Linked DNA regions of Mus musculus. The protein of the gene in region 1 purifies or fractionates together with the protein of each later gene. This does not show direct contact. Links are inferred from orthologs where the notes say so. Each region holds a gene or a part of one and is shown in the gene's direction. Other genes may lie near its edges.

The links.
Region 2: the proteins of Copg1 (region 1) and Arcn1 purify together in Homo sapiens (affinity purification with mass spectrometry; 6 studies listed by BioGRID and IntAct, counting the BioPlex papers as one, with this or other methods). This does not show direct contact. The link is inferred for Mus musculus from reciprocal best matches to the Homo sapiens genes COPG1 and ARCN1.

What each region holds. Positions count from the first base shown.
Region 1 is NC_000072.6:87,890,407-87,894,574, forward strand, and holds part of Copg1 (coatomer subunit gamma-1), read left to right. Parts: exon of another isoform or gene 1-353; intron 354-1,542; coding exon 1,543-1,618; intron 1,619-1,799; coding exon 1,800-1,892; intron 1,893-2,226; coding exon 2,227-2,313; intron 2,314-3,389; coding exon 3,390-3,547; intron 3,548-3,634; coding exon 3,635-3,768; intron 3,769-4,168. UniProt on the Homo sapiens protein: The coatomer is a cytosolic protein complex that binds to dilysine motifs and reversibly associates with Golgi non-clathrin-coated vesicles, which further mediate biosynthetic protein transport from the ER, via the Golgi up to the trans Golgi network.
Region 2 is NC_000075.6:44,746,998-44,751,165, reverse strand, and holds part of Arcn1 (coatomer subunit delta), read left to right. Parts: intron 1-732; coding exon 733-841; intron 842-4,168. UniProt on the Homo sapiens protein: Component of the coatomer, a cytosolic protein complex that binds to dilysine motifs and reversibly associates with Golgi non-clathrin-coated vesicles, which further mediate biosynthetic protein transport from the ER, via the Golgi up to the trans Golgi network.

The sequences.
Region 1 (4,168 bases):
ATTTCTCACTTCCTAGGCCTTGCCTTTCTTCTTCCTCCTTAGACAATACAACCAGCATGGAGCTTTCATAAGTCTTTAGATAGTGCTAAGGAAAAGAAAAACAGGGTGCAGGAAGTTAATGAGCAAGTCTATTAGCCAGTACTGGTTTCTGCGCTAGGCTGAGTAATTTAGGGACAGACGTCACGAATATATACTCCGTGTCCTGGAGAACTGAGAGTCACAGCTGGACCTGGTGCTGCACACTTGTTCTCCCAGCATTTGGGAGAAACAGGAGGATGGCTGCCAGTTTGAACCTGCCTGGGCTACATAGCAAGATGTCTCCAAAAAATGAAATAAAACAAAACCACACAACATCCCTGCCTCTTACCCAGTTCTTCTATTTCTTCTTGACATTGCTATCTGAGGAGAGGGACCATACAGCCAGAGTCAGGGGCATTGATATTTCCTGGGGCTGGAAAGATAGCTCAGGGGTTAAGATCTCTGGCTGATTTCTTAGCATCCACATCAGGAGGCATAAACCCGTCTGTCAGTCCAGCTACAGAGAGTTTGAGGTGCTGTCCGGCAGGATGGAATGCTTCAGTCCCGGAGGAAACTGTTATATAACTCACAGTCTCTGTAGCCTTAGGATTTACCAGCAAATAATCAGGCAGTGGGGCTCTAACATGGTTTATGGAACTGTAAAAGACTATGAAAACAGAACAGAAGGACCCGGAAGACCAAATTCTTAGCATAAAGGAGATTTATTTGCTCCAGAAGGACAGAGGAAAGGGAATAAGAGACAGACAGAAGATGAGGGAGAAGGGGAAGGAACAAGGGAGAAGGGGCAGGGATGGTTGTCCTGGAGTGGCGTCCTGGATAGAGAGGAGACAGACATGGCCAATAGGCAAATAGTAATAAAGTTAAAGGGGGGAAAGTGTTAGGAGGAGGTATTTAATTGTAATTGGACATGTTAATTAGGTGAGCCAAAGCTGGCTTTTGATTACTGGACCTATGTAGTCAGCCTCAGTAGGAGGATGTGGCTAACAAGGAATGATCCCTGGCAGATAGCTTTAGAAATGTGATCTAGTGGCTTTTCACAAGGCAGAAGGGATGGGGGAGAAGGGCCAAGGCTGCCAGAGCCATGCTCACCATGCTCAGGCTGGCCAGAGTTCCTTCAGACAACAGCTTGACTTTGGATCAGAGAAGATCTCCAGCATGAGCTAGATTGGGAAGGAGAAAGGTCCAGGCTGAGCAGTGGCAGGTGAGAGGCCTGCAGAGGAAAGCATCTCACTGAGACACTGCTCTGTTTGCTGCTTATGAATCCTTGAGCTGATGGCGATCCTCCTGCCTTTGTCCCTGAGTGCTGGGATTGCAAGCATGTAGTCTGTCTTGAATTCCGTGAAACTCCCTGGAGCTGTTGTTTGGCTTGGAGGGGTGAGAACAGAAGGGAGCAGTAGCTAGCAGACTGGTGTGGTAATCACATCACTGGTGTGGTGGTGTGGACTAGAGAAGAAGGATGGCCTATGACCCCCGCATGTCAACAGTGCCTCCTTTCCCCGGCAGCCTGACAAAAGACATGACTGGGAAAGAGGATAATTACCGCGGTCCTGCTGTCCGTGCCCTCTGCCAGATCACTGACGTGAGTCCTTCCATCTCTACCTGCTTCCCAAGCTCTCGAGCATACTCTCGGCTGTCTGCAGCTGTCTGAATCAAGTAGAGGAGCCGGGTGGGAGGGACTGACTCAGTAGGAGCTTCTGAAATGGTTGCTTTGCTCTGCACCCCGTTGCTTCTACGTCTGAGCCCGCGTTCTCCCACCACAGAGCACCATGCTGCAGGCTGTTGAACGCTACATGAAACAAGCAATTGTGGACAAGGTTCCCAGTGTCTCCAGCTCCGCCCTCGTGTCTTCCCTGGTACATAGCTGTGACTGGGGCCTGCAAGGGTGGGTTGAAGGTAGAATAAAATGTCTGAGGCCGTTGTCAGAGGGGAATCAGACACTCTGGGTTCATTGGGAAGAGCTGGGGTGAGTGGCTTTGACCCACCCCTTACATGGTAGGTTGTCAGGACTGGCATCAGACAGGAAATCTGCCAGGCGGGAAGAGTGAGGGTTGACAGCTGTCTGTCTGTCCATTCATGGGCTTGGGCTCAGGATAGTGAGGAGGGCCTGGCTGCATATGAGAGATGACAGGAGTATGACAAGAAGGGCACCTTTCCTTTTGACCCTTTAACAAGTCCCACTGCCCGCAGCACCTGCTGAAATGCAGCTTCGATGTGGTCAAGCGCTGGGTGAACGAGGCCCAGGAGGCGGCGTCCAGTGACAACATCATGGTCCAGGTGAGAGGGACACTGAAAACAAACAGGGGCACACTGTCATTGTCCAACCTCCACAAGTTCTGGTGGCCTCTGGCCAGGACAGGCTCTTATTCTTTTGTCACTGGGTGTGGGAGATGGGGACATGGAGAGAAGCAGCCAGGGCAGCACATGGGTGTTTAGGAAGGATTTCTCACTGGATGCTGCTGATAGAACCAAGTCTATTGAACGATAGATGGGAATGTTTTGGAATACAGGCTGTTACAACCCACCTGGCCTAGGTAGGCCGATGGCCACCACAGTCCAAACCTTTGCTGAGCTGGTTCTGTTAGTGACATGGGGTTTCCATCTGAGAAACTTTCCTCTGTAACCTAAACCTGGTATGCCTCTCTCTGAGCGTCAGTTTCTCTGGAACGTTGGAAGAGCAAGGGTTAAATGAGAAGACATACACAATGAGGGATGGGAAGGAGGCTTGTCCCTTTCCCTCAGTGATTGTTGTTCTCCTCACTCTGTGTGGATCATGTCTTTGGGGTCAGTAATGATGCTCTAGTGTACACCTCTAAGGGTCAGAAGCACTGACTACGTGGAAAGTACACACACCTGCCATACCTTGGCCCTCACATGCCACTTGACTAAGAATGGACAGAATGAATGGGAAGTGACCTTGGTAACTTACATTTCTAAAAGTGGTGTCCCTGGGCTTCTAGACCTCCAAAGCCAGCTTGACCACAGTGGGACAAATAAGTAGGGACAAGCAGGCCAGTCCTCTAGGTGTTGGAAGGGTTTGTGTTCTGTGTCCCACAGGACTATGCTCATATCTTGCCCTAGCTGTGTGCTGCAGCTCTTTCTATTCTGGTGTCTTCTCTCACATGGTCAGGATACCTGCAGGGTCCAGAACTCTGGTGCAAGTGAGAACATCATGTATGTGATAGTGTGTTGGGCACGACACTGGAGTTGGTTACGGGGAGTGCTTGGGAGTTGTTCCAGCCCCTCTGTGTGGACATGAGTGCTGTGCTTAAACAAGAAGGATGGAGCTAGAGACACACAGTGCCCTTCCCAGGGCTTCTGTGTCTGTTGCCCATGCTGCCTCTGTCCTTCAGTACCATGCCCTAGGACTTCTGTACCATGTGCGGAAGAATGACCGACTGGCCGTGAGTAAGATGATCAGTAAGTTCACCCGGCACGGCCTCAAGTCCCCCTTTGCCTACTGCATGATGATCCGAGTGGCCAGCAAGCAACTAGAGGAAGAAGACGGCAGGTGAGGACGCTGGTCTCTTGCCAGCTAGATGATGCCTTCTGCACTGCTGGACTGTCCCCAACTTCTTGTTGCTTTGTTCTTTGGTAGCCGTGACAGCCCGCTGTTTGACTTCATCGAGAGCTGCCTGCGTAACAAGCATGAGATGGTGGTGTATGAAGCTGCCTCAGCCATTGTCAACCTGCCAGGCTGCAGTGCCAAAGAGCTGGCCCCTGCTGTGTCAGGTCTCCATATATCCCCTTCCTTGCTGGGCACAGGCCCCGAGCCAGAGATCTTCAGATAGGCCATGATGTAGGGCTGTCACAGGTGTTGCTTTAAAGGAGGGCTGTTTTCAGTTCCATCTCAGTGCTGGTGGGGCACTGCTGGGCCAGCTGGCTCCAGAGGAGGACTCGGGGTGGGGCCCAGGACCTATAAAGCTCAGGGTGCTTGCTCATGGGGCGCACTGGAACTCACAGCTGGACTCACTGCAACTGCCCTGAGCAGGCAGAAAGCCCCTGTCCTCTGTCTGACCTTCCTCACCAGGCCTCATTTCCCTTCTGAAACACAAAGGGCCCTCTTGCTGTAGGTGGTACCGGTGGGATCTGCACAGGCTACTCAGTAGTGTGACACACACTACTGAGTGCA
Region 2 (4,168 bases), on another chromosome or scaffold:
TTTTTTGAGACAGGGTTTCTCTGTGTAGCCCTGGCTGTCCTGGAACTCATTTTGTAGACCAGGCTGGCCTCGAACTCAGAAATCCTCCTGCCTCTGCCTCCCGAGTGCTGGGATTAAAGGCGTGCGCCACCACACCAAGCTGTGATGGGTATTCTCTTACCTTCATTACCATAGCAAGTTCTTTTTGGCAAAGTGGAATTGATGCTATTACTTTGTATATTTGAATTAATCGTTTTAATTTTTTAAAAGTATATGTGTGTTTGAATGAATGTATGCCACCTATTAATAGGTGCCTGTGAAGGCCAGAAGAAGTCATCAGGTCCCTGGAGCTGGAAGTACAGTGGTTTTGAGCCACCAGTGTGTAGTTTTATGTAGGATGCTATAGATTTGTTGGTCAGCTGTACTTTTCTTCTTCTTCTTCTTCTTCTTCTTCTTCTTCTTCTTCTTCTTCTTCTTCTTCTTCTTCTTTTTTTTTTTTTTTTTTTTGTTTGGTTTTTCAAGACAAGGTTTCTCTGTCCTGGAACTCACTCTGTAGACCAGACTGGCCTTAAACTCAGAAATCTGCCTGCCTCTGCCTCCCAAGCACTATAATTAAAGGCGTGCTCCACCACTGCCTGGCGGCGGTCAGCTGTATTTCTATTCTTCCATACTCTTGATCTTAGCCCAAAGGCCAAGAAATAGTTCTACTCTTTTTCTAAAGCTGAATTGTGATGGCCTTGTTTTTCTTCTCAGTTAATTGCTGGCCTTCGGAAAGTGGAAATGGCTGTGATGTCAACATAGAGTACGAACTACAGGAAGATAATTTAGAGCTCAATGATGTGGTCATCACTATCCCACTCCCGTAAGTGAAAGTCTCTTAATAATCCTTATCTTGGGTTAATTTGTAGAGCTGGTTCCTGGGGCTTAGAGATGAATTTTTGAGGCAGTACCTCACCGTATATCCATTCTGAAATGTTGGCTTATTTTCTTCCCCCTGAAGTAATACTGATTAAACCTAGAGGCTTAAACACAGCAAGAGCTCTACCACTGAGCTATGTTCCCAGTCCTCTTTGTACCTGTTTTGAGACAGTTTCACAATAAGGCCAGACTGCCTTTTAATATCAAGAGTAGCTAGGATTATAGGTCTGAAGCACTAGGCATAACTGATACTCCTTTTTCATAAATACCAGTTGTGCATCACTCTGGAAGCAGAGGCTTTCTTGAGTCAAGCAGAGGCAGCTTGGTCTACAGAGCAAGTTCCAGGGCTACACAAACCCAGTTTTGGAAAACAAAAATAATTAGTTGACTAAAAAACCAGTTGTGAAGCCTGGTATGGTGGCATAGGCCTATAATTCTAGCACTTGGAAGGTAGAGACAAGAGGATCAGAACTTTGATCCTGGGCTCTGTGTGACCCTGTTTTGAGGGAGAAAGGAGGTGGGGTGGGGATCATGACTAATGTAAAAAAGAAGGTAGAAACACGCGGCTTTCTAGAAAAGGGTATCCTTTTTGAATAGAAATCCAGAGGTAGAGAGTAAAGTACTTATGGGAAAGGGGCAGGTGGTGAAAGGGTCCTGTGATTTTTTTTTTAATATTTATTTATTTATTATATGTAAGTACACTGCAGCTGTCTTCAGACACACCAGTCAGATCTCCTTAAGGATGGTTGTGAGCCACCATGTGGTTGCTGGGACTTGAACTTAGGACCTTCAGAAGAGCAGTCGGGTGCTCTTACCCGCTGAGCCATCTCACCAGCCCGGGGGTCCTGTGATCTTGTAGACAGTGTGCAGTTGTCAATGCACGGAGATGTGTGCTTTGACTTGTTTGTTGGGTTTGGTTAGAATGAATTTTTTTGAAACGGTCTCACTATGTAACCCTGGCTGGTCTGAATTCCGAGACCCACCTTCCTCTGTCTCTTAATGTGATGGTTAAAGACTCCCACACCATGTTGAAGTGAGCTTTACTTTTTTTTTTTTTTCTTTTTTGAGCTGTACATTTTGAAGGGGGGTGGACTGTGCTTTGAAACCAAGACAAATGAATTGTAGTGCTAGAGTTGCTTTTTTGAGTTAGGCCTCACTCACTCACTCACTCTGTAGTCTTCCCAAGGCCAGGAGGATGAGGCTGTTCCCAGTCACACTTCTTTTGCACATTTCAGAGAAGCTTAGTCTGCCAGCCTGTGCTTTCCCTTCTCTTTCTCTGAAGGGAGGAGTGTGTTTTAGATACAGTATGCCTACATCAGTTTTATTAAGTTTTCTAGAAGCTTTAAGTTATGATTGACAGGAAGCATGCAGTGCAGTAAGTTTTGACATGTATACACCTGGGAAACTGTCAGCACGGGCAAGAGAAACACGTATGTCAACCTGGGTGTGGTGGCTTACACACTAATCGCAGCACTTGGATGACCAAAGCAGAAGGATCCTCTGAGCTTGAGTTCCACGTCAGCCTAGGCTATGGAGTAAGACCCTGTCATACACGCATGCGCTTTAAAATTTTCCTTCCAATGATGTCTTGTGTAGTTCACTGGCATTTTCTCAAGGTCCTCTGGGAATATCATGTGTCTCCAGTAGAGTGTGCACTGTTACTATTTCAGCTTTTACCCTCATCCTCAGCCCTGCCTTAGGCAATACAGGGTTTAATTATGAGCCACAGAGTATTCGTATTGTTATATGCCTCAACTTTTATTGTAACAAAATAATTTTTGTTTTAAAAGATTTATTTATTATTATATGTAAGTACACTGTAGCTGTCTTCAGACACAACAGAAGAGGGAGTCAGATCTTGTTACGGATGGTTGTGAGCCACCATGTGGTTGCTGGGATTTGAACTCTGGACCTTCGGAAGAGCAGTCGGGTGCTCTTACCCACTGAGCCATCTCACCAGCCCCACAAAATAATTTTATATACAACAAAATAATACTTAATTTCTAGTTTTGTTTCCTTTGATTACTGAGGGATTTATCTTGGCCAAGTCTAATTTTAGTCATGCTTATTTCTGGGTTTTTCTCTCTTTCTCTCTCTCTCTCTCTCTCTCTCTCTCTCTCTCTCTCTCTCTCTCTCTCTCTTTGGTTTTTCGAGACAGGGTTTCTCTGTGTAGCCTTGGCTGTCCTGGAACTCACTTTGTAGACCAGGTTGGCCTAGAACTCATAGAGATCCACTTGTTTCTACCTCCCAAATGCCAGGATTAAGGGTGTGCTCCACCACCACCTGACCTTATTTCTGCTTTTTAAAATATGCTATATTACCATTGTCTTATTACTCTGGAGAGATACCATGACAGCTTAAAAAAAAAAGAAAGAAGGCATTTTTTAAAAAAATTATGTATACAGCATTCTGTCTTCATTATGCTTTCAGGCTAGAAGAGGGCACCAGATCTCAATATAGTTGGTTGTGAGCCACCACATGACTAATGGGTATTGAACTCGGGACCTCTGAAGAGCAGATGGTGGTGCTCTTAACCTCTAAGCCATCTCTCCAGCCCCCTATAAAGGAAAGCATTTAATTGAGGCTGGCTTACAGGTTCAGAGGTTTAGTACATTATTGTCATGGCAGGAAGTATGGTGGCAAGCAAGCAGACATGGTGCCGGAGAGATAGCTAAGAGTTCTACATTCAGATCATCAGGCAGCAGGAACAGTGAGCCACATGGCCTGGCTTTAGCTCCTGAAACCTCAAAAGTCCACCCCCCCAGTGACACACTTCCTCCAAAAAGGCCACATCTACTCCAATGAGGCCACACCTCATAATACTGCCACTCCCTATGGGCTTACGGGGCCTTTTTTTTTTTTATTCAAACCACAATGCCAATATTCGCATTAATAGGATTAGCCAGCACACCTATAGTTCCAGCCCTTGAGAGGCAGGAGAGTTCTGATTTCAAGCCTATGTTATACAAAAGACCCTAATTTGAAAAAAGTAAAATAATAGGGTGACTGTCTCCAAAAGTCAGTTGTTCTTTCAGAACAATAAATAGCTACCTTGAACAGTGGTAGAACTTGGGCACTGCTGACGGGTGGACTTTGTTTGTTGAGATTTATTTTCCTACACTATTTTTGGAATGCCACCATTTTTAGGTCTGTCTACTCTATAATTATGGCTGTGGTGGTTTCCTGTGTCTTCCTTCAGCTTTGCAGTGGCCTGAAGAGATCTTTGAAAAACATTTTACCCCAGCATATAAGTCAGAGTCAGAACCGAGCA